Elephas maximus indicus: one gene and its partners. The protein of the gene in region 1 interacts with the protein of each later gene in a pairwise test. Links are inferred from orthologs where the notes say so. Each region holds a gene or a part of one and is shown in the gene's direction. Other genes may lie near its edges.

The links.
Region 2: the proteins of GOPC (region 1) and CERCAM interact in a two-hybrid assay, tested with the Homo sapiens proteins (2 studies listed by BioGRID and IntAct). The two-hybrid records come from large-scale screens. The link is inferred for Elephas maximus indicus from reciprocal best matches to the Homo sapiens genes GOPC and CERCAM.
Region 3: the proteins of GOPC (region 1) and MYLK interact in binary tests that used the Homo sapiens proteins (3 or more experiments, as listed by UniProt). The two-hybrid records come from large-scale screens. The link is inferred for Elephas maximus indicus from reciprocal best matches to the Homo sapiens genes GOPC and MYLK.
Region 4: the proteins of GOPC (region 1) and HCK interact in binary tests that used the Homo sapiens proteins (3 or more experiments, as listed by UniProt). The two-hybrid records come from large-scale screens. The link is inferred for Elephas maximus indicus from reciprocal best matches to the Homo sapiens genes GOPC and HCK.

What each region holds. Positions count from the first base shown.
Region 1 is NC_064819.1:184,795,811-184,802,741, reverse strand, and holds the start of GOPC (Golgi-associated PDZ and coiled-coil motif-containing protein), read left to right. Parts: upstream 1-3,914; 5' UTR 3,915-4,149; coding exon 4,150-4,437; intron 4,438-6,931.
Region 2 is NC_064827.1:79,441,278-79,449,187, forward strand, and holds the start of CERCAM (inactive glycosyltransferase 25 family member 3), read left to right. Parts: upstream 1-4,905; 5' UTR 4,906-5,599; coding exon 5,600-5,802; exon of another isoform or gene 5,803-5,856; coding exon of another isoform or gene 5,857-5,954; exon of another isoform or gene 5,955-6,218; intron 6,219-7,242; coding exon 7,243-7,353; intron 7,354-7,513; coding exon 7,514-7,631; intron 7,632-7,910. UniProt on the Homo sapiens protein: Probable cell adhesion protein involved in leukocyte transmigration across the blood-brain barrier. Does not express any beta-galactosyltransferase activity in vitro.
Region 3 is NC_064819.1:14,806,436-14,813,613, reverse strand, and holds the start of MYLK (myosin light chain kinase, smooth muscle), read left to right. Parts: upstream 1-4,165; 5' UTR 4,166-4,350; coding exon 4,351-4,383; intron 4,384-7,178. UniProt on the Homo sapiens protein: Calcium/calmodulin-dependent myosin light chain kinase implicated in smooth muscle contraction via phosphorylation of myosin light chains (MLC). Also regulates actin-myosin interaction through a non-kinase activity.
Region 4 is NC_064843.1:37,418,435-37,425,604, reverse strand, and holds the start of HCK (tyrosine-protein kinase HCK), read left to right. Parts: upstream 1-4,170; 5' UTR 4,171-4,430; intron 4,431-7,170. UniProt on the Homo sapiens protein: Non-receptor tyrosine-protein kinase found in hematopoietic cells that transmits signals from cell surface receptors and plays an important role in the regulation of innate immune responses, including neutrophil, monocyte, macrophage and mast cell functions, phagocytosis, cell survival and proliferation, cell adhesion and migration.

The sequences.
Region 1 (6,931 bases):
CCACCTAAGATGCATCAATTGGTCTCAACCCACCTGGAGCAAAGGAGAATGAAGAACACCAAGGACACAAGGCAATTATGAGTCCAAAGAGATAGAAAGGGCCACATGAACCAGAGACGCCATCATCCTGAGTCCAGAAGAACAAGATGGTATCCCACTACAACCAATGACTGCCCTGACAGGGAACACAACAGAGAACCCCTGAGGGAGCAGGAGAGCAATGGGATGCAGACCCCAAATTCTCATAAAAAGACCAGACTTAATCGTCTGACTGAGATTGGAAGGACCCCAGTGGTCATGGCCCCCAGACCTTCTGTTGGCCCAGGACAGGAACCATTCCCCTAAGCCAACTCTTCAGACATGGATTGGACTGGACAGTGGGTTGGGGAGGGATGCTGGTGAGGAGTGAGCTTCTTGGATCAGGTGGACACTTGAGACTATGTTGGCATCTCCTGCCTGGAGGGGAGATGATAGGGCATAGGGGGTTAGAAGCTGGTGAAATGGACACGAAAAGAGAGAGTGGAGGGAGAGAGCAGGCTGTCTCATTAGGCGGAGAGTAATTGGGAGTATGTAGCAAGGTGTATATAAGTTTTTGTGTGAGAGACTGACTTGATTTGTAAACTTTCACTTAAAGCACAATAAAAATTATTAAAAAAAAAAAAAGAGTTGTTCCTCCCCAATTTAACATAAAATCATTGCCCCCTAGGTTTCCTACTTAATCTTTGAGGTTGCTGTTGTTGATTTGATCCCATACAGATAGATCTTAAAAGAACACTATGCTCAAGGCAGACATTCTTTACTATTATGCTAAATTATCATTTGGTTTTAAGAAGACTTCAGGGGATATTTTTGGTTTAAAGTTTCCCACCCTATTTATTCTTAATAACATCTTTTGGCAGAACTCTGCAGGGATAAATTTCTAAAGCAAGACAGTCATATTTAAGTTATAGCAGACTTAAAAAATCACATAGGTATGATTCACGAAACAATTGTTGGAGGTTTCTGCCAATCCAACTGCAAATACAACTATCATGATTTTATTATCTCTGGGAAAATAAATCCTGCAAGTATTGAGATTACAATTCCAAATTCCAGAGTAGGTAAAGGCAATAATGTAGATAGAGAATGTTGACAACAGATGGCAGCACTTGAACATCAAACCAACCCTACTTTTCTTGTCCAAATTTGGCTGTGACTTGTAAAATTGTAACAACTCAATAAAATTGCAACAACTCAATCAAGGTGGGCAGAAGATTATTTGTCTACATCAGGGCTTCTCAAGAGCACTTGAAATAGTCACATGGTGATAGAAACAGCAAGCGCATAGGGACGTAGCCATAGTGTGGTAATGAGAAGGGACAATATAGATGAAAGTATGCTGAGGCACAGAGAGTGTGACTTGTTGGAATTGTAAGGGTTGTAACAGAAATTCAACTAGGCATCCTGAAAATGGGGCTATTCATCAACAATTAGAGCACTGGACACATATACACACTTGAAATGCACTTCAGCCACACTCACACAATATAGTCAGAAGTTGAATGATGTTATTTAAAAGAAATGAAATTTATCTGCAAGTGTGGGTGGGCCGTATAAAGAGAGCTATAAGAAAAAAAATGAGTATTACAATTACTATTTTTGTCATATTTATTACATAGTAAGAGATTTGTATTTGGCTATTTACTGGGAAGAATTTTTTTTTTTAAAGGTAACTACTTTTGGACAGATTTGCCATTTTATACTGATAATTTGTACAAGAAGAAATGGATTTTCCCATCCTTCTATGCCTCCTGGTCAATGGCAAAGGCTTTGGATTAAAAAAGACACCTAGACGGGAACCCTGCTCACTCACTTTTTAGCTGTGTGACCTTACCAAGACAATACTTAAGCTGTTAACCGTCTAGGACAAAATGATAATACCTACCTCAGAGGATTTTTCAAGGATCAAAAAGGTTAAGCAAATTCCACAATGCCTACCACATACTAAGTGCTCAGTAATTGATAGCTATAATTATTGTTGTTGTGGTTCCATGTATGTGCCCCTCTCCAGTTTCAAATTACTTGCTTCAAATTCCTGAAAATTCATTGCTAACTATATTACCTATAAAGAGGCTGGGACCTCGGTAGCTGTAGTAATGATGTTCTTGTGAATATCGTAGATAAATGCAAAGTTAGTTTTGGAAGGGAGTGGGGAAGAATGCAAATCTTAGTTTTATATAATTTATTGTGTATTAAAACCTGCCTGAACATGCCTATATAAGCTCAGGGCAAGGATCTTACGTTTACTAAGGCTTAGCTAAGTTTGCTGGAGCCAAAGGACTCTACTGGCTTACATTAATTAGTCAGCCCTGCAGTACCCAGAGAACAAACTAAAGATGTGATTTCTCGTTCCTCATTGGTGTTGACAAGGGTCACATGGTGCAGGCTTTGGACGGTGATTAATTGGAAGGGTCTGTCCCCTGACAAGGTCACAGAAGACTTTTGTAGTCGGCCAGTAAAATATTCCCTCAGGCAATACAGGAGCAAAAGTTCCAACCAACCTATTCTTACCAGGCTGGTTTCTCCTTCCCTTTCCTCGACTGGGCTACACTTGAAATGAAACGGGGTTGAGAGTGGGTAGGTGGAATGGTAAAGGGGGCAACTGCTCAACACTTCCAGGTGTACTGCAAAAATCAAATTAAAATTGTAGCTGTGAATGCTAGTAACCGCAGTAACCTATGAGCCCTGCTTGAATGAGGGTTATGTCTCATTCATTTGTGTCCCCAGTGCACGGTTCGGCATTTAATATATTTACGAATATATAAATCTTCATAAAGACTTAAGAGGTAGTACTAAACATAGTATTATGCCTTTGAGTGCTTCCTTCCCTTTCAGATTAAGATTTGACAGTAAAAGCACTGAGACTGGGGTGTGCGTGTGTGTGCGCGCGCGCGCGCCTGTACGTTGAGTCAGAATTGACTCCACAAGAACGGGTGTGGTTTTTTCTTCTTTTTTAATAATACATACAATATATAATCATTTTGCATTCCGATGTATGGTTTCAAAAAGAAATCAACATGAGCTCTATAATGAGAGGGGAAAACAAGCCATTCTTTGGGGATATCCACTTAAATTGTTTAATTTTTCTGAAACGTCACGTGTTGAACACTACCCAGTTTTTTTTAAATAATTGAGTGATTCCTTCAACACTTGCACTTTTCAAATAGTTGTTTTTGAAATGTATGATCTGTGGTGTAACAGGACCTAATACCACGTGCCAAGCACCCATGCTAAGCATTTTACCTTATTACTGAACGAAGTAAAATTTGAGACTCCGAGGTTAAGTAACACGACGAAGGCTGTATAGCCAGGGTGTGAAACATAACACTTGAACCCAGGCCTGCCTCTTAATCACGAGACAAAAGGTCTTCTATTAATTCGGCAAAACCTGGTCAGGCGCTCTCCTCAACCTGCAGCTTTAAGCAGTTCCCTCCCAGAGTTTAGGGCCTGGTTTAACAAAAAGAGCCAGTGTATCCAACACTCCACCCTAAACAGGAACTGGAAAGAAGAAAGGTAAAACGTGGCTATTGCGCATGCTCACTCTGCCCTTCCAAGCTTTCCACTCCCTGCCCCCGGACTCTACTGCAGCAACTTTCCCAGACTTTAGAATAGCTCCCGCCCACTGTGAAGTCAAACGGGCGGAAGCCGTTCTTTTCTGCGACGTGGATATCCTCTCTCCCGCCGATCTTTCCAAATTGGAAGCAGACACCATGCGCCTCTGTTTCTCTGGGATCCAACTTGGAGTTAGCCAGTTGTCAAGATGGCCGCTGACAGCCGGTCCCGAGCACAGGCCTTTCATAGGCCAAAGTCTTATCCTAGCCCCGCCCATTTCGTCCCCGCCAGCCTTGTCCGCCTGCCTCTTTGCTACGCATGCGCAGTGGGAGCGGGACGGAGGTGGGACGGTCCCGGGTCTTCCGTGTGCCACCGCCGCCGCCTCAGCCTCGCTGCTCTTGCCACTGCGGGCCTACCTTGCCGGCGTTAGCCGCGCGAGGGGAAGACGGGGTACGACGGAACGTGCGTGCGCGGGGGTCCCCATAGTCCCAGCAGTTCCCCTCGCGCAGGGTGGGCGGCGGGGGTCAGCAGCAGGCAGGGGAGGCCCTAGGCGGCGCCATGTCGGCGGGCGGCCCGTGCCCGGCGGGGGCCGGTGGGGGCTCAGGGGGCGCCTCCTGCGCTGTGGGGGTCTCCCCCGGCGGGGTATCCATGTTCCGGTGGCTGGAGGTGCTGGAGAAGGAGTTCGATAAGGCCTTCGTGGATGTGGATCTACTCCTGGGCGAGATCGATCCGGACCAGGCGGACATTACTTATGAGGGGCGACAGAAGATGACCAGCCTGAGCTCCTGCTTTGCGCAGCTTTGCCATAAAGCCCAGACTGTGTCCCAAATCAACCACAAGCTAGAGGTGAGCAGAGGGCGCTGGCGGGGCCACATTCAGTCCCAGGCTGCCTGGTGGCGTTAGATCCTATTTAGATACACCAGTGAAACAACTCCAGAAAACTGCCTACAGGGGCACCTGGGCTATGAATGTGATGGGAGAGTGCGCGTGTGTGTGTGAAGAAAGGAGTTAGGTAAGGTAACCCAGTGCCGTCGAGTCGATTCCGACTCTTAGCCGACCCTATAGGACAGAGTAGAAGTGCCCCATAGAGTTTCCAAGGAGCGCCTGGCGGATTCGAACTGCTGACCCTTTGGTTAGCAGCCGTAGCACTTAACCACTACACCACCAGGGTAGGTAAGGTACGGAGGAAGAGACGTGTGGGTCTCCCGGGGTCGTGTCATCACCTTCTTAGCACCTCAATGGGGAAGAAACAGGAACTAATTACACCAGCCAAGACTTAAGCTCAAAGATTCTCTGTCATAAGAATGAATACCTTAGCCCACCTTTTTACATTTAAGACGTCGATAAAACAAAGTTTGCATATCACACCAGACAGATACAGGCCTGGTTATTTACTTATTTTTTTAAACTATTCCAGACCGGCATCTGCGGTTACAGAGACATACTATTCTCTGCATGCATGAACTATTTAGGGGAATTTGATCAAAGCTCTTAGAATTTGTGGGATAAATATGATAATATCATTGCCTTTCTCGGTTTACATCCACAGTTGGTCCTTAGGTTACAGGCAGACATCTCCAGAGCCCCGTGCAGTTATTCAAATGGCTTCTAACATTGAACTTTGTGTATTTGTACTTTACTGTGTTTCCCAGAGTCTGAATTTATTTTTGAGTGTGTAAAGAATGATTGTTTTAGTCTGTAATCTTGGGGTGGGTGTGGGCGAGTGGTGGTGGTTTCCCCTCCCAAAAAACAAAAAACCCTACCACATTTTGCAGAAAATGAAATTAGGGCATTATTAAAATATTTAGAAATCATGATAGATTAATTTTATTAAATAATTACATAAAGAGCATTTTCTAATTTAAAAAAAATTAGGCAATTTAAATGAGAATGAGTCTTTTAAAAGTAGATTAAAAATGGGATAATCAGTGATGTGCAAAACTCTTTGAACATTAGTTTTCCTAAGAAATCATTGTTGCTACTAGTTATGATAATTGAAACTACCCATCAGATCCAAATTGATATGAATATCAGAGATGCATCCTCTCTTCGCTTAGTGGTCAGCATTTTTTCGCTTTTCTGTCAGTCATAAAAAAAGTGGTATAATCTGATTAACATTGGTTTGCACATCTGAGATTTTCTGCCTCTTCTCCACTGAATGGACTGTTAATTTCTTCTACCCTTTTTAAAAGGGTAAGAATGAAAGTGTTGATATGAAGGTAATAATTGGCTTTTCTAGGTAGAATAAAAATGTCTCTTGATTTCTTGATTGATAGTAATTTCTAGAAGATAGTTATTTTTTCAAGTAGTGAAATTGCATCTGATGGTACTTAGAAATAGTACTTGAGCTTTGAATAACAAAGTAGGAGAGGAGCTTTTGTCACATGAGAACTTTTTTTATCATTTACAACTGCAGGTTTGTAAATGACTTGCGGAAACATTAAACAGTGATATTATGATGTCCGGTTTAAAATCTAATTTTGCAGAAAGAATCATTATGTGAGTAGGAGGTAGTGCTCAATTTTTTTTTCATCTTTAAGCATTTTAGATGAGTATTCAAAGCTGTAATAAATTATGCATGCTCTTTTTCTCAGAAGTTATAATTATGTATTCTGACTTCATGCCCTGACTTAGAGGTGGCGTTATTTTTCAAAATAAGAAATGCTTGCGAATCACAATGTGAGCATATTTTTCAACATGTTTGAAACTCTTCATTTAAAGGTCTCAGAAAATGTAGAGGGAGAGACGTAAACTTGATTTGGTTTTTTTGTTTTCTTGCTTTTTCCATTATAATGACTTGTCTGTTTGTAGTATTAATCTTCCATAATTTAGTAATTTTTACACCTTGTATGGAAACCCTGGTGGCGTAGTGGCTAAGAGCTACCTACGGCTGCTAACCAAAAGGGCGGCAGTTTGAATCCACCAGGTGCTCCCTGGAAACCGAATGGGGCAGTTGTACTCTGTCCTATAGGGTCGCTGTGAGTCGAAATCAACAGCAACGGGTTATGGAATCAGTTGTGTACTGCTGAGGAGAGAGGTTCAACGCCGGCGTTGCCTTTCATAGTAGGTCTGCTGTATCCGTCTGCGTGATTTCAGGGCTTGCTGCATATAGTGTTATCAGTCTTCAGACATCTAGATTCTTAGAAAACCATTCTATAACTTTTTGCCAAATTTAGATAGTTATATTGATTTAAATATATGAACATTAAGGCATACTATTTGAGGCTGCTTACATTTGATATAACAAATGTGCTCCATAGTTCAGTGGTTTTAGAAATTAATACCTCAAACCATGTTGCCATAGTAGAAGAATTTATATAATCAAGATATGGATACCTCC
Region 2 (7,910 bases), on another chromosome or scaffold:
CTCTGTTCAACCTTGGGTTCTCTTGGACTGGGTTTGGACGTGAGGTGGGAAGGGAGCCTAAGCTGGCTTTTGGACTCCCATCTGTGGAGCTGCACCCAGAACCAGGAGTGGGACGTGGGCCCATCCTCTGGCCAGGATCCTGGGCTCCCTTGGCTACAAAGCAGGACAGGGGCCCAGAGAGCCCCCAACTCAGGAGCCGTGAAGCTGGCAGCTGGTAAGAGCTTCATCATAGCACTTCCCCCCTCTTGTACCCCCACTCCCAGCCTGCTTGGCTCTCAAGCTGTGAGGACTCGCAACCCCGGGGGCATCTCTAGGCTGGCCCCACCTATTGGTAAGGTAGCGTAGCGGCACCTGGGTCTTTGCATGAGAAGATAGATAGAGGGTTGATGAGGGTGTGGCCAGAGCCCACTGGACCAGGGCCACGGGCCTGGGTTCCGGACCCCAACTCCCACAGGCCCCAATACCCCTAATTTCTCTCCAACCAAAGGGGCTCCTCTTGCCCCCTCCTTAGCCTCCTGAAAGAGGGGGCTGGTCCCCCAACTGGGGGTATGCTAGCCTCAGTGTCCCTCTCCCTGCTGAAGGTCATGCTGCAGAGCCTTCACCAGTGGGCAGGCCTTGGAGCTGAGGCTCCCAGAGGGGAGAAGGCGCTGGGAAGGGGGTAGTTCTTTCTGGGTCTCTGGTTCTGGAAACCAGAGTAAAGCCTGAGGCGCAGGCGCCACCACCTGGCCTTGGCCAGAACTGCAATGGCCAAGGGATGGTTGTGGGGAGAAACCCAGAGCTAGGTTTGTCCAGTCTGGGTCCTACACAGCCAGACGGCCCCAAACAGTCATTTTTTCCAGGTGTGGTACCATCCATGACCTAGAGAATAAGGCCTTACACTCCATAGGCCAGGAGCTTCAGACTTGAGCCTGCATCAAAGTCACCTGAAAGGTGTATTAGATTGCTTGGTCTCCAACCCTAGAGTTTCTGATTCAGTAGTTCTGAGGCAGGACCTAAGAATTTGCATTTCTAACAATTTTCAGGTGAGGCTGATGCTCCTGGTCCGGGCACCATGCTTTGAGAACCACTGCCTTAGAATTCCTGTGAACTGGGCCCAATAAAATAACACCTTTGCAGTGTATTATTATTATTATTATGACAAAAAACGAGTGTAAGTGGGAGTATAGGTGCTTGGTCAGCCCACCAAAGCCAATGTCCAGTCACATTTACATCTGGAGCCCACTCCATGTGCACTGGGGGTCTGCTCTAGGGGTAAGGGATGTCATGGTGAATGAGATAGGATGGGTTAGGTCCCTGTTTCAGAATCCAGTCTAGCTAGGAGATAACCAGGCAACCAGGCAAGTATAGCATGTGATCCTTCCACCTGGAGGTATGAAAAAAACCTAACCAAACCCATTAGCATCGAGTCCATTCTGACTCATGGCAATCCTGTGGGTTACAGAGCAGAGCTGCTCCATAGGGTTTTCTTGGCTGTAATCTTCACAGAAGCAGATCATCAGGCCTTTCTTCCATGGTACTGTTGAGTGGGTTCAAACTGACAACCTTTAGTAGTCAAGAGCAAACCGTTTGTGCCACGTAAGGACCTGGAGGTCTAAAAGGCAGCTCAAAATAATGCCCAAAACAGAACCCAATTTTCACATCCCACCTGCTCCTTCTCAGGTGTTCCCCAGTCAGCAAACATAACACCACTATCCAAACCAGTTGCAAAGCCTAAGTAGGGATCATCCTTGATTCCTCCCTCTCTCTCCCATATCCGATCACACAAGGCCTGTCAGCTCTGCCTCCATTATACAACTCAGTTTTGTTCACATCGTCTCTTTCTGTCCGAGCATCTCCATCCTTGCCCCTGGGCCACCCTCTGCACTGCAGCCAGAACGGTCTTTTTAAAGACAGGTCATGTCACTTCTCTGCTTATGCTCAACAACACTTTCCTATTGTGTTTTTTTTTTTTATAAAAAAGTTCCAAAATCATGCTAGGCTTCTGGGCCTTATGTGGCCTGGCCCCGTCTACCTATTTACCCTTACCTCGTAGCACACTCCCTTTGCGCCTTTGCTCCAGCTATGCTTGCCTCCCTGCCTGTTCCCACTTCAGGATCTTTGACCCACCCATGCCTTCCATCTGGAATACTCTTCCCTCAGATCTTTCCTAGGCTGGCTTCTCCTGCTCCGGAATGTCTTCCCTGGCCCCTCTATCTACATGTTGCTTCCCACCCCCTACTCTCTATTCTTATTTACTTGTTTTGTTTTGTTCATAACACTTACCGTCCTTTGGAATTGTCTTATTTGCTTCTCCATTTGTTTATTTCCAGCCTTCCTCACCAGAATGTAAGTGTCCTAGGGGCAGAGACCATGTCCGTCTTGTGTGCCTCATATTCCCAGTGCCTAGAGTTGTACCTGCACATAGCTGGTGCTCAATATATTTTGTTGAATAAGTGGGATCATATAGGATGCCATATAGGGTCCCGCAGACATGACATCAAGGATGGCTTTCCAGAGGAAGTTTAAGCTGATACTGAAGGGCTTATAGGAGTTGGGCTGGAGGAGAAAGACCAGTCTAGGCATCGTAGGGACCAAAAAAATAAAAAAAGCATGCAGTTTTCTGGCAACTGTGAATAGCCCAGTTTGGCTAGAGCAGAAGGTTTAGTGGAGAGAAGAATGGAGAAGCAGAGGAGTTGGAGAAGCTGCAGGCCAGCCATGCAGGGCCTCCCTGCCCTTGATGGGTTTGAGCTCTATGCTGAGGGTGTTAAATCAGACATTTAGAAAGGGCTGCTGAGTGTGGATGGTTTCCAGGGAGAAAGCCTGGTGGTGGGGAGGCCTGGGAGGTGCAGTGGCCCAGGTGAACAATGCTGATGTCCTGAGCCAGGCAAGTGGCAGTGCAGAAGGAAAGTGGCCATGTGCAGGAGACACTGAGGAAGTGACCCTGCCAGGACAAGGTGATCGTATGGATATATAGGGTTAGAAAGAAGGACTTGTCATCAGTGACTCCCAGGTCTTCAGTTTGAAGGACTGGATGAGCGGAGGTGCTATTTCCTAGGGTGGAGGGGCACTGCAGGGGGAGCAGGTTTGGGGGAAAGGTGGGGGTTCTGTTTTGGACAGGTAGAGTTTGGGTCTAGGTGGGCAGTTGAGATACATGCTAAGTTTCCACAAAGAGGGAATGGCCCATGTGGTCAGCTGCTGTTAAGAGGCTGAGCCCTCTAGGATGAGGAGGACGTATCCCTTGGGGGGAGTGGCAGGCAGAAGCAGTTTGGCTGGAGCAGGCTTTGTGTATGTCAAGCAGTGAATGGAAGTGAGTCAGTGAGACAGGGAGCAAAGCACAGATCTCCCCCCACCCCCCACCCCTTCAAGATGTTTGGCCTAAAGAAAGGAAGAGAGTTAGGGCCACCACTGGGGGCAGGGAGGTAGCCTGGTATTTTCTTATTTTAAGTTGGGGAAGATTTACATCTTTTGGAATGCCGAAGGAAGGAACCAGAAGAGTGGGAGGTTGATGATAACAGGAGCTGTAAGGGGATGGCATTGTGGTCATTTCTTTGAGAGGAGGAAGATGCCTCTTCTGTTGTAACAAGTGGTAAGAGTGGAAGCTGGTTTGTGGGCAAGGGGTGGAAGACTTGGAGGCTTCAAATGAACGTTCCCAGGTGGTGGCTTCTATTTTTCTCCAAGAAGTAGCAGGGAAATTCTTGCTGAGGTGGGAAGTGGAGTTGGGCTTCAGTTTGGGGGGGGGGGTGTCATTTGAAATGCCACTAAGAGGGGCCAAGGAGCATAGGGAATCAACATGGTGGGCTTGGTGAGAATCCAGGTGAGGATGGATATCATGAGTTTGCAGTGGCCCCAACGTCCCCACAAGCAAGATGGTTATACAGTTGGGTCTTCTCCAGGAGGGTTGATGGGAGGACCCCAGGATAAGGGAGTCAGTGACAGGTTGGATCATTAGGTGGGCTGGGGAGGGAGGTGTAAATGGGAGGGGCTGATGCATTTGGGAGAAGGAAGAAGACTCAAGGCCAGGGAAGAATCTGGAAGACCCCATGACCAAGAGGATGGGCAGAGGCTCAAAGACATGGAGAACTCTGGGATGACTCTGGGATAAGTGAGGTAGAGAACACTGCTTTGCTGTGTCTGGGGTTGGGAGTGCCTTCTGGCCAGAGGCTACTAATGCAAGGGAGGGGATTCCTGAATCTCCCCAGGATGCTTTCTTGGGGCCTTGGGCCCTTCTCATTGTAGGTCACTGGCTGGGAAATGGCCTTACCTGGGAACTTTGACCTTGAGCCTGATGGAGGCCTTGGAGCTCAGCTGGAGGTCAGGACTCAGGAGTTCAACCCCCCTACAAGCTGTCCCATCACTAGGTAAGTCCATTCCTGGCTGGGCCCCATGGCTACCAGCAAAGATAGTGTGCCCAGGCCTAATCTGCCTACCTGACTCTGGGAGGAGGCTGAGAGAGAGAGTCAAAAGGTGCCTGAAGGAAAGCAGATCGTCCAGGTGAGATGGAAGGGTGAGTATGTGGGGGAGATGCCTGCCTTTCCTGGGGCCTCCTCCGCCTGACCTCTCTTCTCCTGAGCCCTCCCTGTGTTCTAGACTTCCCACAGAAGCTTCAAGTGCATTTATTCTCTCAAGGAATTCTTGCAAACCCTTCAGGTGTTATAGGCCCCATCTTATCCATGAGAATGCTGACGTTCAGGGAAGTGGCCTGTCTGAGATAGGCAGTACATACAAGGCTAGAAACCACCGTTAGTGCCTCCAGGTCCCTCTCTTTTTTGCTGCAGACCCATTCCCATCCCAGCAGGGTCCTAAGGACCAAGGCTCTGCTCCAGGGGAGGCTGGAGCCCCTGACTTGGAGGGGACTGGGTCGCTGTGAGGGGCTCTGTGGTGTTCAACAGTTCAATCAATCGAAGTGTGGGCTTTGCTCTCTTAAAGGGTCGAAGCAGCGGAGGTGCTGGAGCGGAGGACGACGACGCGCTGGGGAAGCCAGCCGCGAAACGCCGCGGGATGGCGCGCCCAGGCCAGGGAAACCCTCTTCCCGCCCTCCAAACCGGGTCTTCCTCTCAGACCTACGCGTCGCCTCTCTGGTCTGCGAAGCTCCCATCTGGACCCGCCAGAGGGCGCCCGGGGGCAGAGGCGGAGGCGGGCGCCGGGGAACCCCGGAAAGGTAGCGGCCGGGTCGGTGCTGCCCTGCGGGAACTGCAGCTAAAGTCCGAGGGTTGGATGACCAGAGAATCTGGATTCAGGCGCGTCAGACGCCCAGTGAAGCCGGATTCTGGGGGTCGAACGATCAGGGATTTGAAGAGTCGAGCGCTCTTACACGCTCGGGCGGCTCCAATGCCGTCACCCCAGGCCCTCCCCTTCCCTTCTCCCCATTCCAGGGTCCCGCGCAGGCGGGGGGGCCTGTTCCTGGGGTGCGTCTGGGGCGGGTCTCCCGGCCCTGGCCCTCCCGACGCCCCTGGCCCAGGGGCAGAAACTCGAGAATCCGGGCAAGGGGTAGGGAAAGGGGCTCCTAACCCTCCTCGGCTCCGCCCCGCCCCGGGCCCCGCCCGCCCGGCCGCCCCGCCCACTCCCCTCGGCCCGGCGGGGAGCTCCGGGGGCCGCCACTGCCGCCGCCCGAGCGCCCGCCATGCACGCTGCTCCCGCCGCCCCGCTGCTGCTCCAGCTGCTGCTTCTCCTGGGGTCGCGGCTGGTGGGTACGGGCACCGCGGAGCCGCCGCCGCCGCCGGCCGTGGTCCTTGTCATCCTGGCCCGCAATGCAGAGCACTCTCTGCCCCACTACCTGGGCGCACTGGAGCGGCTGGACTACCCCCGGGCCAGGCTGGCCCTCTGGTGAGAGAGACCCAGGCGTTGGTACCCACGGGACATCTCCCCCCAGCCTCCTAGATGGCTCCCGGCCCCGGTGGCCTCATCTGCTCCCTGCCCAGACAGGCCCCACCCTCGCAAACAGGCCCTCCAGAGTCCCAAGCCCCTGGCTGGCAAAGGTAGACCTAGGTCTAGGCCGTGGGGGTGACCCAGGGACACCCACCCCTTCTTCCAGCCCCCTTCTTCTCCTCTTGGGACCGCCTCTGGGTGTTAAGTTGGGCCCAGGCCCTCTTACCTCAGCCCTTGGAGCCCAAACTCAACTCTGTGGGACCTGTGGTTGGTTTGACTTGGAGACACTGGACCGGCAGGAGTCCCCTGAGGCTGGAATCCCCTGGGGCCTGACATGGCTGGAATCAGCAGGACTGGAGCTTCCTGGGGAGCAGGTGGGAGTGCTGTCAGCCCTGGGCTGCATGCAGTTCTGCAGGGGAGTCAGACTGGCTCTCCTCCAGCTGAGCTAGGCCCTGTCCGCCAAGGACTGCACAGCTGGGGACTGTCCCTTTCCTGGAGTCTCTCCCCGCAGGCATCTGCATACAGCACTGGTATCAGAGACCACAACCTCCAGTCTCTGGAAGCCAGAACAGGGAGGAGTCCTGAGCTGAGGCTGCGGATAAACTAAGAGAAATGACAAACTACCCCCCCACCCCCACCACCCAAGACACCAAAGTTGGAGGTGGAGCCGTGGCCTGGGGAGGCTGCCCACAATTACCACAGTTTGGGAGTTAGTTCCCACCCCTCCAAGACTTGACACGTAGTTAGTCTTCACTCCTGGGGAATTGGCTTAAAGGGGCAGCATCACTCAAGCTGGGGCTCTTGGCTAAGCCCTGCTTCTCTGTCACCGGAGCCCCTTCCCCAGGAGAAGAGACCTATGCTCTGAGGCACCTGGGCTTGGGCTCATCAGCACTTCTCCAGGAGCTCAGAGCATGGTTTGACCCTTATTACAATTTGCCGGTGGAGGGAAGCAGCACTGTTCTGTCCAGTCCTGACAGGGAAAGGGACTGACCTGTGGTCACACAGCAAGGAGAGAAAGTAACCAGGGAATGTAGCAGGTGTGCTCCTCAAAGTCGAGGTACCTTTCATTTTTCAAAACACATTTACCTTCTGTTCTCTCAGCCCATGACATGGTCAGGAAAGCTTATAGCAACAGAGGGAGAAACTGAAGTCAGAGAGGGAACAGGACCTACCTGAGGTTACACAGCCGGTCACAGAGCTGTGATTGGGACCTGGCTGTCCTGCCTCCAGCCCCTCTTCCCCCCGCCACTGTAGCACACCTAGCCTCAGTGCCACCCTCCCCTGTGGCCTGGGGTGACCAGCCTTATAGGTGTTGGTGCTCCAGGGGTCAAGTCTGGGTTTGGCCCTTCTGTCCTTCTGTGGCTGTGACCTCTCACCCTTCTTCCTCTCTGTCCCCAGGTGTGCCACTGACCACAACATAGATAACACCAAGGAGATGCTGCAGGAGTGGTTGGCTGCTGTGGGCAATGACTATGCAGCTGTGGTCTGGAGGCCCGAGGGGGAGCCCAGGTGGTGACCTGAGGGGAAAGGTTCTGGAGAAGATGGGGAACAGTTGTAGCCCAGAGAGGAAAAGGGATAGCCCAGGGCCAGCCCAGGGCTCTGTCCACTGCCCTACAGACAGGGAGAGATACCCACACCATGAGAACATGTCATGTCTTTACTCCCTCAGGTCCTACCCAGACGAAGAGGGTCCCAAGCACTGGACCAAAGAACGGTACCAGTTTCTGATGGAGTTGAAGCAGGAAGCTCTGACCTTTGCCAGGGACTGGGGGGCTGATTATATCCTGGTAAGGAAGCCTGGCCTAGGGTTGGCTTCTCACTGGTGATGGTATCTGTCCCTGGCAAAAATCTCGATGTGACTAACCACTCCTGTAGGCTGGATTCTTCGCCTGGCAACCTGGGCCAGAGCCCAGATCAGCTGTTAAGCTTGGATCCCTAGGCTGAGCTTGGACTAGGTACTAAGCCTGGATCTCTGAAATAGATCTTAGGGTATATAAATAAAAAAGTGGGCCTAAATTCTGGACCAGAGCCCAGGGTACAAACTGAGCCTGGGTTCATGGACTAGA
Region 3 (7,178 bases), about 170 Mb from region 1:
ATACTTCCCAGGCAAACTACATTGGCTTCCCTAGGCACACATTCTTGCCAATAAAACAGGGAACTTGGCAGCTGTCATTCTCACAATAAGTTAATTAAGTGAAATTCTGTTTCATACACGACTTTCATCTTAACACAAGCCAGTCTTTCAGCCTGACCTCCTCCAATTTCATTTCTAAGATCTAGTTTTTGAACCCGTGAAACTGAGGCTCAGGCCCCACTGAGTTACTTCCTTGTCTGAAGCCTTCTCTCTTCGATATCTCTTCTAGCTACAACACTGAATAGTCAAGCAGCTATCCCCTACAGGGAGGGGGAAACAAAAAAACACACACGGAATTAAAAAATATCTATATTTGCAACTACATTTTACAGAACACAGAGTGTACCTGGGAAATATCAAACCCAATGACAAACAGATATAATCTGGTAAATTACTGCACTTTAAAGAAAATAAAAACGTTCTCTGGGCATCTAGGCAGAAACAGCATATAACTTATAAGTGAGACCGTATTGGACTTCTTTACAGCAATGCTTTAAGCCGGAAGAAATCTTAAACACATATTTAAGATTTTTAAGGAAAAAAAAATGCAAACCATGTATTTTATATACAGCAAAAGTGACTTTGAAATATACCTTCAAACTGTAATCGACATCAAGAACTCAGGGAATATTGTTTCCATAAGGCCTTCCTAAGGAATCTACTAGAGAACCAGATTTCAGAAAATCAAAATGACTAAACTAGAAAGACATAGACATAAAGAACTGATGATGTTCATTAAATATGTATTTACTTATAGAACTAAGACTAAATGAGTCCTTGTACAGCAGTATTCGTGGCAGCATTATTCGTAACAGCCAAAACGCGGAGACAACCCAAGTGTCCGTTAACAGATGAATGGATCAACAAAATAGGGTATGCAATGGGATATTTTGCACCACAAAGAGAAATGAAGTTCTGGTACATGCTATGACATGGATGAACCTTGAAAACATTACACTGACATAAGTCAGACACAAAAGAACACGTATCGTATGATCCCAGTTATATGAAACATCCAGAAGAGGTAAGTGCGTAGCGACCACAGTTCATTAGTGGTTACCAGGGCAGGTGGGAGGGGGAGATGTGAGTGTTTCCTAAGGGGGACAGAGTTTTTGTTAAGAATGATGAAAAATTTTGGAAACAGAGATTATTGTACAACATGCATGGTGAATGTAATTAACGTCACCAAATTGTACACGCAAAAATGGCTGAAATATTTTGTTACATGTATTTCACCACAATAACCAATAACTATACATATAAAAAAATAACTCTATGTGTATATATAGTTACAAGGTCACTATGAATCAGAATCCACTCAACAGCATGGTTTTGGTTTTATTTATATATGGCAACCAACGTAGAAATAATGGCGTCCCTGGGTGATGTAAATGGTTAACCCACCCAGAGGCACCTCAGGAGACAAGCCTAGGTTCTGCTTGTCCAAAAGCTTGCAGCCTTGAAAAGCCTATGGAGTAGCTCTGTTTTGCACACATGGGGTCACCATAAGCTGAAATTGATTCGATGGCAACTAATAACAACATAGAAATAAAAACTTTTTGAAATAAAAATTAAAAAAAATGACTAAGCCAGAAAATCAGTTGCTGTCAAGTCGATTCCTAATCCTGAGGGTTAAATGGTAAAAATTATAGTATGCAATGGCTATAGAAGCTGGGAATATAGAGTCCAATCGTAATAAAATAGACAGTATATGAAAAAAATTAACTTTTCAAGAATCATCATTGATGATAGTATTAATATTGTCATTCTGAGGTTACTGTATGTTTAATGTAAAATAAAACAAGTTAGTAAAATGAGATATTCTAATTTCATCATCCCTTGTATCCTTGAGAACCAGGATCCTCCAAGTAGAAGAAAAGACATCCCACTGTAATATGGAAGAGTTTAAGTAAAACCTTATAGTTCTAAAATGGAATTGGAAATATTAGTATGAACTCATGAAATATTTTATCTTCGTTCTGTCTACTCAAAAGGCCTAAAAACAATTACCAGTCTCGTGGCAGTGGACACCATTCCCTCACTAAAAGAAACTAGGGATTCTTGGAGAAATGGCTAATCCCGGGTCTGGGGCAGCAAATGTACAAGATGAACCGGGAACGTTTTGTCATCTCAGAAAGCAAGGAAGCTATCAAAGACCACTAGTGTGTGTCAAAAGGACCCAGGAGCCAAGTGGAAGAGGTTCCTACCGGCCAAAGATGGGCAATCTGAGCTTCAGTGAGGATTAGAATTGCAGTAGATTAAAACACCTTAAATATATTTAAATCCATGAATTCATAATGTTATTAAGAAAAAGAAAATAAGTCACTGTCTTAGGCCGGGTTCTCTAGAGAAGCAAAACCAATGTGGCATATAAATATACATAGAGAGAGATTTATATAAAGGAAATGGCTTACAAGGTTGTGTTGTTGTTGTTTTTAGGTGCCATCGAGTCAGTTCCGACTCATAGCGAGCCTATGCACAACAGAACGGAACACTGCGCCATCCTTACAATCGTTGTTACGCTTGCGCTCATTGTTGCAGCCACTGTGTCAATCCACCTTGTTGAGGGTCTTCCTCTTTTCTGCTGGAAAGTCCCAAATCTGTGGGTCAGGCTCGAGGCTTCTCCTGATTCATGTAGCCACAGGTGCTGGTGAATCCAAAATTGGAAGATCAGATAGCAGGCCTCTGGCTCACAGGCTGTGGAGGCCGACGACGAATCCCAAGATGGCCAGGTAAGACAGCAGGTAGGCTGCTAGCTCAAGTCGTGAGAACCAGAAGTCAGATGAACAGGACCCAGCTGCAGGATCCAGAGCAAGAAAAAACCAGCAAGCCTTGCCAGAAAGTCTACCAATATTGGATGCAGGCCACATCCCCAAGGAAACTCCCGTTCAACTGATTGGCTGCTCACAATAGATCTCATCATGGAGGTGATCACATTATGTCAGATATCATTATGGAGGTGACTACATCATTAAAAAGCTGCCAGACTACATCATACCTGCCAAACTGCTGAGGATCACGGTCCAGGCAAGTTGACACACAACCTTAACCACCACAGTCACTTTTTGAGGATGACGGAGGACCAGTTTATTATCTTGAAAACTGCATCAATTCATAAAAAGAAGCAAGTGTTTATCCTGTTTTTCCTACATGAATTTATCTCAGAGTAACCAAATAGTAGGTGAGGGTAAGCATCGGTTTATAAACGTATTCAGCTAATAAATGAAAACAAAATGGTAGAATTAGAATATCATTTTGCAGCCCTCGATGAATTCATGGGTCTTGGAATTGAGCATCAACAGCTGCTAAGCTCAAAGGAGATCCAAAAACAGACATCATGTGCCTCTCAATAAAGGAACATACCACCACCTATAGTTTTGAAACGGGATCAAACGTCAGTTTGACGACACTTACAGATCAGCTGCCAAATTGGAGAAAATTTAGAAGACAGAGGAACAAGCCGAACTGTTCATGAACATGCCTAAATTCTCCAACAGATAAATTATAAGAAAAAACTTGAAATTCACACAAAGTTTTTAAAAAATAGGCAAGATGTACACTTGAGTGATAACACCAAGTACGTGATTACTGTCTATAAAAGGCAGGATAGTGGGAGAAGGAAGGAAGGGATGGGACATATGGAGAAACTTCTAGTTTGGCTGGCAGATTTCTTGATCTTAGGCTGGGATTACAAGGACATATATATATACAGTTTGTGTGTGTGTGTGTGTGTGAGGTTATCTGTGTCTATGTTTTATTTTACAATAAAAAGTTTTTGTTGTTGTTTTTAAAAATGACCCCGGCCTCAAATAAAGGATTAAAAAAGAGGGCATGGGAGGGGCGGAAAGAGGATCCAAGTTAAGAGATGAGAAAAACTACAAAATACTTCACATCAGGTGCAAATTAAATATTAAGCAAGCCAAAATTTTTCTTTCTTTTATTGTGCTTTAAGTGAAAGTTTACCGGAGCTGGTCTCGGGGTCCTGCGCTCGGGACCCGGCGGAGGAAGAGCGCCGTGGGCGTGGCGGCCGGGGAGGCAGGTCCATTCCCCGAGCGTTATGCAAATGGCATGCAAACCAGCGCGTGTTAGTGTGGAGTCCGCAGCGTGCGTCCGGCTCCGGGAGCGGCGCGCTCACTCGCTGGCGCACGGGCGCGCTGGCTCCTGGTTGTCTCGCTTGCCCGCCAGGTCCCCGGGTCCGCGCCCGCCCGGCCGGGACGCGCCTCGCCGGCTCCCAGCGCCGCCAGGTTCCCGGTCTTCTGCAGACGAGCCCGCGCCTCGCGCCTGCGGCCGGTGCGCCCCTGCCGAGCGCCGATGCTCGACTCCCGGGCCGCCTTCGCAGCGCGGGTGAGTGAGCCGCCCCACGCTTTTGTCTTGGCGCGGTCCTGGAGTCGACTCTCGGAGGGGTGAGTGGGGAGCCGAGACGCTCCCTCCCTCGGAAGCCTTCCCCCCTCGGAGCTGGACGCCCCCGAGCTGGTGCTTCCTAACTCTCCTGCTGGAGAGGGGCTCCTAGGTGCGGCGAGGAGTTGGGGGACGTGAGGGGACGACAGTAATGACGCCCAGCAGCCCGGGTTTTCTTTTGGAGGAGGTGAGGTGATGGGGAACAGTGATATGATTGTCTCTATAGGAGTTACGCAAAGGGGGTGCCTGTGATTTGAGGGGTGCGAATCGCCGCTAGTCCCCAAAGAAGAGAACCGGGCTTTTCTCCCAACTTCCCAGCCCCTTGCACGACAGCAGTGAAAGTCCCACAGCCCAAATGTGAATCCCGGGAGGTAAGTCTTGCTCTTACTCAGTGCCCCTCACTTAAGTCTCTCCCCTCGCTCTGCCTCCTCTCTTCAACTGGGCTTCCGTTGTTAAGGGACCCTGTTCCCAGATAATTGCGACTAGGAAGTTTTCAGTGAACTAATTCCCAGGAAGCATTAGCTGTCAATAGTTGAGGCAGAGCTACTAAAACTGTCAAGACCCAAAGGACTGAATTTCTGGAAGCGTTACTGCAGACTTGAAGATGGGCTGGTGGGGAGAGTTTTCCTAGGAGCTTTGGGTTTGCATTCCCTTTATGTCAGGATGCCAAGGAGAAGAAGAAGGACTTAGCTTGGAGCCTAAAACTTGCTCCCTTCAAGTTGATCCCTTGATTCTGAGTCTTAGGGAACCACTGCGCCAACAGGGCTCCAGTGTGAAGCCTGGAAATGGTAAAATTAGTGATTACAGTTCAGGGAGCTGGGTGGGATGGGGGTACATCTAGGAGATGGGCATGGTGCCAGGCCTCAACACCTGGTTTTGTCATCCTTCCTGGCCCCCAAGTTCGAAGAGCACCAGTGTGTATAATACCCCGTGCCCCCTGCCTTCTGGGGCGTGTCCTAGAGCTGTGCCCCTCTGGGGCCTGTCCTAGAGCTGTGCCCCTCTGGGGTCTGTCCTAGAGCTGTGCCCCCCTTCTACTTGGAAGCCTTAGGTTCCTCCTTGCCTTAAGGAAATCTTTGTCAAAATGCACACTTGTCAATAAATTATTTACAAAAGGGGGCTCGAGAGGAGCTGGGATTGTTCGGAGAGCCCCCCCCCCCGCCCCCGCCACTTCAGCACATCATGTGTTCACTATGCCAGTCTTGGGGACATGTGGGTGCTCTGGTGTCCTTCTTAGGCTCCCAGAAGGCATTTCAGATTCTAGTTGAATTGTTTTTGTTTTTCCCACTTACTTTCTTTCCCTCTTCTCTGCTACTGTTGTTTTCTTTTAAAATCTTCCCTGCCCTGTTTACTGCGGGACAGGAAGGGTGATGCTGCTGGCACCGCAGTGCCCTAGGCCTGCGTGGAACAGTCGCTCCCGGTGCCCAGACTGAGGCTGACCCTTTGTCACCCGTCCTCAGTGGGAAAAGAGCTGAAGCTGGGGCAAGGAGGAGCACAGGCAGGTGGCCCTGGGTGGGGAGTGGTCTGAACACTGGAGGTCGGGTAGGGGGCACTCTGGGGGCATGCACAGGAGCCTTTTCACTAAGATGTGCATGTCAGTTGCCTCATTCGATGATACAAAAGGATGTGAGTCTTCACACACCACTAGGCATGAGTTTGGAGAACCAGCCACCCCCACAGTGGGGAAGGATTTGTGTTGGTCCATCCTCCTGTTTTGGTTTCTTTTGTGCAACAACTGGTCAGCTGAGGAAGGAGGGGGTAGCTGGGGCCTTGGAGCGGTTTTTCCTTGTGTGAGGTTTGCTGACCCCCCCCCACCCCCACCCCAGCAGGAGACTGCTTCCCCAGGAAGCAGATCTTGGGGAACAATGAACTGAGCAGACTACAAGTTCCTGGTCTAATTACTGTAGTTTGCTGGACCCATCTGCTGCCTGTGCCGCCACTACAAGCAGGGTCTCCCGGCTGGCAGACGGGCAGGAGGCTGCTGGGAAGGGTTGTCAGAGAAGGAGGCTGGCCTCAGGTGGTGCTGAGGGGAGAGAGGCCCGTATAGTGCCAAAGGTGGAGCAGAGGGGAGGACACCTAGGGTCTGGGCCCTGGCTGGGGGGATTGTCACCAGCCTTGGAGGAATAGAATGTGAATGTGCTGGGGTCACCTTGTACTCAGTGTCTACAAAAACGACCCCTTGCTTTTTTCCTCACAAGGTAAGATGGACCTAGAGTCTGTGAAACTCACCTAGTTGGTTTATTTTCTCTTTGCCTTTTAGGAGGTTTAGGAGGTGGGGATTTGAGAATGCAGTCCTGCTTGGGAGTAGGGGGTCCAGAGACCCTTTGAACATGTAGAGTTTTATTTAGTATCTTTCTGAGGACAACACTTCTTGATATTCTGAAAGTATACACTAAAGCCACTTTAAAGCCCAGCTGCTCCTGCCCCAACTCAAAATAACACACACAGGTTGGGAAATTAATTCTTAAAAGCTTCCTGCCATACTGTTCTATCCTTTCTTTAAATGTAGAGAAGTTTAGAGAGCAGCCCTTAAAAAGCAGGCTTTCCCAACAGAAGACATTGTCCTTGCCCAACCTGAGTATTCTTTTTTCCTGACCATCGAGGGTACACCCAGGGAACGTGAGGTAGGATCACTTGCATGGAAAACGTACAACTGGGCGCTTGGGTTTGAGTGATATCTGGGGTGGCCTGGGGGCTCGGAGTCAAGGAGCCATCGAGTAGTAATCCAGAGTGAGGGCACAGCA
Region 4 (7,170 bases), on another chromosome or scaffold:
GGGGTGGGAGGCGTTGGCTGCAACAGGACATAAGGGAACTTTTTGGGGCAATGAAAATGTTCTGTATCTTGATTGAGGAGGTAGTTACACTGGTGTGCATATTTGTTAAAACTCATCAAACTGTACATTTATAAAGGTTGCATTTTATTGTATGAAAATTATACCACAATAAAGTTGATAAGAGATTTGGGAACATGTACAGGAATTTTTATAACAACATTACTTTAACAGCAATGAATTAGAAAATTGGTCATTAACAGAAGAATGTTTCAGCTCTGTGTGACCCTCTGCCATCAGAATGGCAAACATTTGGAAGGAGATGTAGCAGATGCAGATAACACCCCTCCCATGTCCCCTCAGCCTTTACCAGGACCGGCATCTCTTCCTGGAGGTTCTCTCTGGTGGCTGGATCCCTCTCTGCCCAGGCATTGACACGGCCTGGGAGTAGCCATTAGCCACTGTCTGACAGGAGTTGGTGTGTAAATGTCTTAGTTACCTCATCTATCAGGTAGGATAACTCTCAAGTGGTAGAGTACACTGTCTCCCAGAGTTCCCCAGCAGGACTGAGCTCCAGTTGCCCACACTGGTAACTTGCTTGATGTTATTGTTAGTTGCCACTGAGTTGGTTCCAATTTATGATGGCTCACTTGATAATGCTTCCTTAATTGGTTTCCTTCCCTTCCTTATCTCACTCACGTCTCTACCAGTGTTATCTGTGTCTCCAAAAAAACAGCTACTTTCACTTGAATCCTTGTCTAAGGTTTGGTTCTGGGGAATTCATATTAAGACCAGGGGGTGATACCAAAAGTTGATGAAGTTAATGGGGAAATTGTTGGAGAGAAATTGGGTGGCAGCCATTCTGCAAGTATCTATCATTTTTGGCAAAAGCAAGTCTTAAAACTTTTCACACAGGTCCACTAGGGGATGTATGTAAGGATGCCTAGTGTGGCATTGTTTATGTTAGTGAAAAGTTGGGTGCAATCTAGGTGTCCATGACTAGGGAAATGGATAAATAAAATGTGGAGGATGTAAACAATGATTACATGGTAGTTAGAAGCAGTGAACAACCAGTACCTCCAGCAACGTGGCTAGATATTAACAGCACAGTGATAGAGTGAAAAAAGTATGAAATTTATAAGTACGATTCAAGTAAATTAAACACACACTTAAAACATTTCCTACTTTTTTTTTTTAAAGTATATACATATATTTAAGCACATATACCAAACACATAAGAGCAGAGGCATTGTCTTTCTTGTTCATTGTTGTGAGCTCTTAGGGGACATTTGGCAATGTCTGGAGACATTTTTGGCTCTCACAACTGGGGGATGTGTGTGCTACTGGCATCTAGTGTGTTGTTCTTAGTTGCCAGTTGCCAGTTGCCATCAAGTCGGCTTCCACTCACAACAACCTTATGTATAAGAGAAGGAAACGTTGCCTGGTCCTGCACCATCTTCATGATCATTGGTATGTTTGAGTCCATTGTTTTGGCTAATGAGTCAATCCATCTCATTCAGGGTTTCCCTCATTTCAGCTGACTCTCTGCTTTACCAGGTTTCACTGGCTAAATCTTTTCAGAAGTAGACTGCCAGGTCCTTCTTCCTAGTCTGTCTTAGTCTGGAAACTCAGCTTAAACCTGTCCACCATGGGTGACCTTACTAATATTTGAATACCAGTGGCATAGCTTCCAGCATCACAGCAACACGCAAGGCCCCACGGTATGACAAACTAACAGACACTTTACCAGGACGGCGAGACTATGTCTCACATGCTTTGGACATGTTGTCAGAAGGGATCAGTCCCTGGAGGAGGACATCATGCTTGGTTAAGTAGAGGGTCAGTGAAAAAGGGGAAGACCCTCAATGAGATGGATTGACACAGTGGCTGCAACAATGGGCTTAAGCATAACGATTGAGAGGATGGCGGGGGATAGAGCAATGTTTTGTTCTGTTGTGCATAGAATCACTATGAGTCGGAACCAACTTGACAGCACCTAACAACAACTGCTTTACCAACCGTGATGTCTTTTTCTAGCAATTGGTCTTTCCCGATGATGTGTCCAGAATAAAGAAGCCAAAGTCTCCTTTGCTCCCAAGGAGCATTCTGGTTGTATTTCTTCTAAGACTAATTTGTTGTTTTTCCAACAATATTCTTCACCAACGTCACAATTTGAATGCATTCACTCTTCCGTCTTCCTTTTTCATTGTTCAGCTTTTGCATGCATATGAGGCGGTCAAAAAGACCTCATATATTTGGGTCAAGTGCACCTTAGTCCTCAAAGTGACATCTTCGCTTATTAACACTTTAAAGAGATCTTTCGCAGCAGATTTGCCCCATGCAATTTGTCCTTTGATTTCTTGACTGCTGCCTCCATGGGTGTTGATTGTTCATGCAAGTACACAGGTGGTGGATCTAGGGGGTAGAGGTCAGGAACGCTGCTGAAAAGCCTGCAATTCACAGGATTAGCCCCCTTTCAAGAAAAATTTTAAGTCCAAAAGTCCAGAGTACCGAGTATGAGAAGCTTGACTTATCCCAGCGCTCAGCACAGTGTCCTACACAGTACTGCTGAATGAATGAATGAATGAATGAATGAATGAATGAATGAATGAATGAATAAGAGACAACGGTAGCCAGAGCTGGCTTGTGGCTGTGGAAGAGAGAGACACAGTACATTTTAAAGTTGTGTCTGGTAGAATTTAGGGTGACAGTTCCTCTCTTTTCCAGGGGCAGATGGGTTGTGCTCTTCTCCAGCGCTGAGCCGGATCCCATCCAGTCACCCTTCTGCCTCCTGTCCACCCTTCTCAATTTGGGAAGCTGTCTGTGTTGCCAGGAAATGGGCAGGAACCAGCCAAGGGCAGTTTTGCGGGCGCAGAGCTTTGCATGGCGTTTGACTAGGGCAGGGCCTGTGGACGGGAAACCACTGACCACAGAAGGGCCGGGAAGGCCAGGGATGCAGCGTGGGAGAGGCGCCTGGGCTAAAAGGCGGGTGGATGGGGAGACCCAGAGGTGGCGAGGACTTCGGGATCCCCAGAGAAGGAACTTAAAGCAGAGGAGGGTGGAGTACCAGGTTAGACTCCTGTGGGATGAAGGGAGATGGGGAAACTAGGTTAGAATCTTGAGGAGGGAGGGCAACCGAGTTAGGTTCTTTAGGGAGTTGGTGGACAAGGGAGGGATTAGAATTGGGGGGGGGGCAGGTTAGGACCCTGCTGGGAGAGACAAGGTGGGGGTTAGGACCCTTCAGGACTAAGTTGGAGTCTTTGAAAAGAGGGATTCGAATCCTTTGATAGGTGGAGTTAGAATCCCGGGGGGGGGGGCGGATTAGAACCTTCGGGTGAGCAGGGTTAGAGTCCTGAGGGGGAGGTTAAAATCCTTCTGGAACAAACGCGGGAATCACTCAGGAGTGGGATTAGAATTCCTAGGGTTAGAGCTATAAATCTTGAGAACCTGGTTAGAATCATTGGAAGAACCAGAAACCCACTGCCGTAGAGTGGATTCCGACTCATAGGGTTTCCAAGGCTGTAAACCTTTAGGATGCAGGCTGCCACATCTTACTTCCTCGGAGCGGCTGGTGGTTTCGAGCCGCCGACCTTTGGGTTAGCAGTGGATCGCTTTAACCACTGTGCCACCAGGGCTCCTTTAGAACTAATAAAAAATTAGAGGAGTTAAAATCCCTGGGGGCAGGATTAGAAATCTATGGTGGGCGAGGCTAAAAATCCTTTAGAAGTGGAATCGAAAATCCTCTGCGGTCACAGTTACGATCTTAGGAGGAGGGGGCCGGGTTAGGGTTCTCTGGAGGGCGGGTTAGAAGCCCTAGGGGCAAGGTTTGGAATCCTTCGGGGACTGGATTAGGCTCCTTCCGAGGCGAGGTTAGAGTATATTAGGGGCGGTGTCACGATACGGGGAGGAGGAGATGGGGGCTAGCTTCTTTGAGGGACGGGTTAAAATCCTTGGGGCGGGGTGAGGACCTTTGACGGCTGTGTTAAAAGCCTCCAGTGGGCGGAGTTAAAAATCCCGGCTCCTGGGAGGAGTGCACCCAGGGTAGGCTCCCCAGGGAAAGGGTTAGAATTCTTGGGGTGGGGTTAGAATTTGGGGGAAGGGGTCAGGCTCCTTTGGGGAGGGGTTAACACCGGCGGGGCGGGGCTAAAGTACCTCTGGCCTGTGGGCGCCCGCGAGTCCCCGGTTCCAGCCCCCCGGCTCCGCCCAGGCTCAGAGGCGAGTGGGAGGGGACCGAGCCGGTTCAGCTGGAGAAAAGTCCGAGAAGGCCCGCGGCTCCGAAGCCCCTGGGAGCCGCGCCCCAGTATTTTCTTCTCGAAAGTCACTCCGTTTTCCTCCAGGCTCGGGCGCCCCGGAACCCCGGGGGCTGCTAAGCTGGGGGGGCGCCCGAGCTGCGAGAATCCGGGCTGCCCGCGAGACGAGGAGCGGGCACCCAGGTGAGTGTCGCGGACAGGCCGGTGGCGGGGGGATAGCACCTGGCCGGTGAGCTCGGGGTCCTCGGGCGGCGGAGGGAGCCCGGGGTCTTGGGCAGGGCTGCCTGTGGGTGCAGCCAGTCGGAGGGGCGGGAGCAGAGCGCGTCCGGGGAGCCGCGGACAGGCGGTGGGATAGAGGACCAACGGGGACAGGTGGGTGCCCAGGTCAAGGAGGAACTGCCATGGCCCAGCTGGGAGCCTGGGTAGCCCAAAGGGAGGGCTGAGTGACTTTGTGCTCGAGTGCCACTTCTCTTGCCGTCCAGGTTCCCCTTCTGCAAAAAAAAAAAAGAGAAGGAAGGGATGCGGCTCCCATGAGCAGACGGGAGGGGAGGGCCTTTCAGGTTTTCAGTGGGGGAGGATGACAAGTCACAGCGGGCTGGCAGCTGGTCGAGATCCCCTCCGGCCCAGGCCGGAGCGGGAAGGGGGCAGCTGGGTGGGGGCGTGACCTATGAGCCACACCCAGGCGGGGTAGCAGCTGGGCCAACTCCTTGAGCTCCCTTTCCCTGCCGGTCTTGGCCGGGACCCCCAAGAGGTCTGAGTCAAACCCCAAAACCTCTTGGGGAGACCACAGGATGTTATGAGACCTTGGGCAAGTCACTTCATTTCTCTGAATCCCAGTTTCCTTATTGGTAAAACAGGGCTATTAATTCCTTCCTCAACTGCTACAGTGAGCTAGAGTTTGTGAGAGGTTGTGTACGTGAGGTTGTTGCCTCTTAAAAAGAGACCGTTTAGTGTAGTGGTTAAGGGAGAGGACTCGGGTAGGGGATTTGGCCTTTCTGTGCCTGGGTTTCCTGGGAATAAAAATAATAATACCTCCATCACAGAGTTGTTTAGAGGATTAAATTGAGTTACTTAGGGGAAAGCTCTTAGAGACCGCCTGATAGGTATACATGCTTAATTTGTTGCCATAGCTTCAGAGTCCCTGGGTGATGCAAATGATTAACCGGCTCCAGATAACAGAAAGGATGCAAGTTCAAGTCCACCCAGAGGCACCTCAGAAGAAAGGCCTGGCAATCTACTTCTGGGGGAGAAAAAATCAGTCATCGAAAACCCCACGTAGCACAGTTCTCTGACACACATGGGGTTGCCATGAGTTGGAATGAACTTGGCAACTAGTGGCTGGATTGTCGTAGCTATTAAGGTCTAACCCAGTGGTTCTCAAATTTAGCAATACATCAGCATCACCTGGAGGGCTTGTTAAAACACAGATTGCTGGGCCCCAGCCCCAGAGTTTGTGATTTAGTAGTCTGGGGCAGGGCCCCAGAGAATTTGCAGTCTCAAACGATGCTGGTGCTGCTGGTTCCGGGATCACACTTTGAGAACCACTGACCTAATGTATGGCTGGTGCAGAGAAAGGTCTTAATAGATATCAGTTCCCTTATCCCACAGCTTTCTTGTCACTATCCCTTATTGGGGAAGTGGAGATTTTTAAAAATACAGAAAAGCAAAGAGACTAATACACTAAATATCCCAGGAACCCAATACCAGGAATTAACAAATGTTAGCATTTTGTCATGCTTACTTCCGAGTTTTTTTTTTAATGAAATTACTAAAAGTAACATGAAATCGAACCCCTCGCCCATATCCCTCCCAGTCTTGTTTCTCTCCCTCCTGAGTCTACCACTGTCATAAATTACAGCCCTTCCAGTCCATGTTTTTATAAATTTACTGCATATATATGTAATGCATCAATAAACAACACACAGAATTGTTTTCTTTCTTGACATCTACATAAATATTACCTAACTGTAAGAGTCTTCTGCAATTTCTTTCTTTCTTTTTTTCCTTCACATCATTAAGCTGTCAGAGTCTACCCATGACGAGAAATAATGGTCCCTTCATTCCTTTTAACTGCAGAGGAGTGTCCCAGTGAGTGACCACCCACATTGTTTCTCTTTTCCCTGTTGGTGGACCTTCAGGTTGTTCCCAGGTATTCACTGCTATAAAAGATGCTGCGGGGACCATCCTTTTCTTTCTTTCTTTTTAAAATTGTGCCTTAGATGAAAGGTTACAGCTCGAGTTAATTTCTCATTCAAAAATTTATAAACATATTATTTTATGACATTGGTTGCAGTCCCCCCAATGGGACAGCATGCTGTTCCTTTCTACCTCGCCTTCCCTGTGTCCATTGGTCCAGTTCCTGTCCCTTCCTGCCTTCTCATCTTGCCTTTGGGCAGGAGGTGCCCATTTGGTCTCATATATCTGATTGCACTAAGGAGCATATTCTCACTTGGGTTATTGTTTGTTTTATAGGCCTGTCTAATCTTTGCCAGAAAAGCGAGATTTAAGAGTGCTTTGGCTCTGAGTTAGCAGAGTGTCCAGGGGCCATAGCCTCGGGGTTCCTGCAGGTATTACTTGAGGGCAATGCCAAGGGGCTGATGGCTTCCCTGAAGGGGCCCCTCTCTCCCTCCCCTTGGGGAGAGGACAGGTAGGCCTGGAAGGGTCAACCAGGGAGTCTGGGGCAGAAACGAGAGAAGAATCTGGTTCTGCTGACCTCCCAGGTCTCACATTTTCACTGCACAAGGTCAAGAATCCTCATCCACCTTGTTCACTGTGCCTGGCATTTAGTAGATGCTTGAAAACTGGAAGCATACCTCTACCGTCAGCCCAAAAAACTGATGTCTGAGGGCCCTTGCCCCAGCGGGTGAGGAGAAGGGTGTCTGTGCTCAGAGAACTGGCAGCCAGGGCTTGGAATTAATTCTTC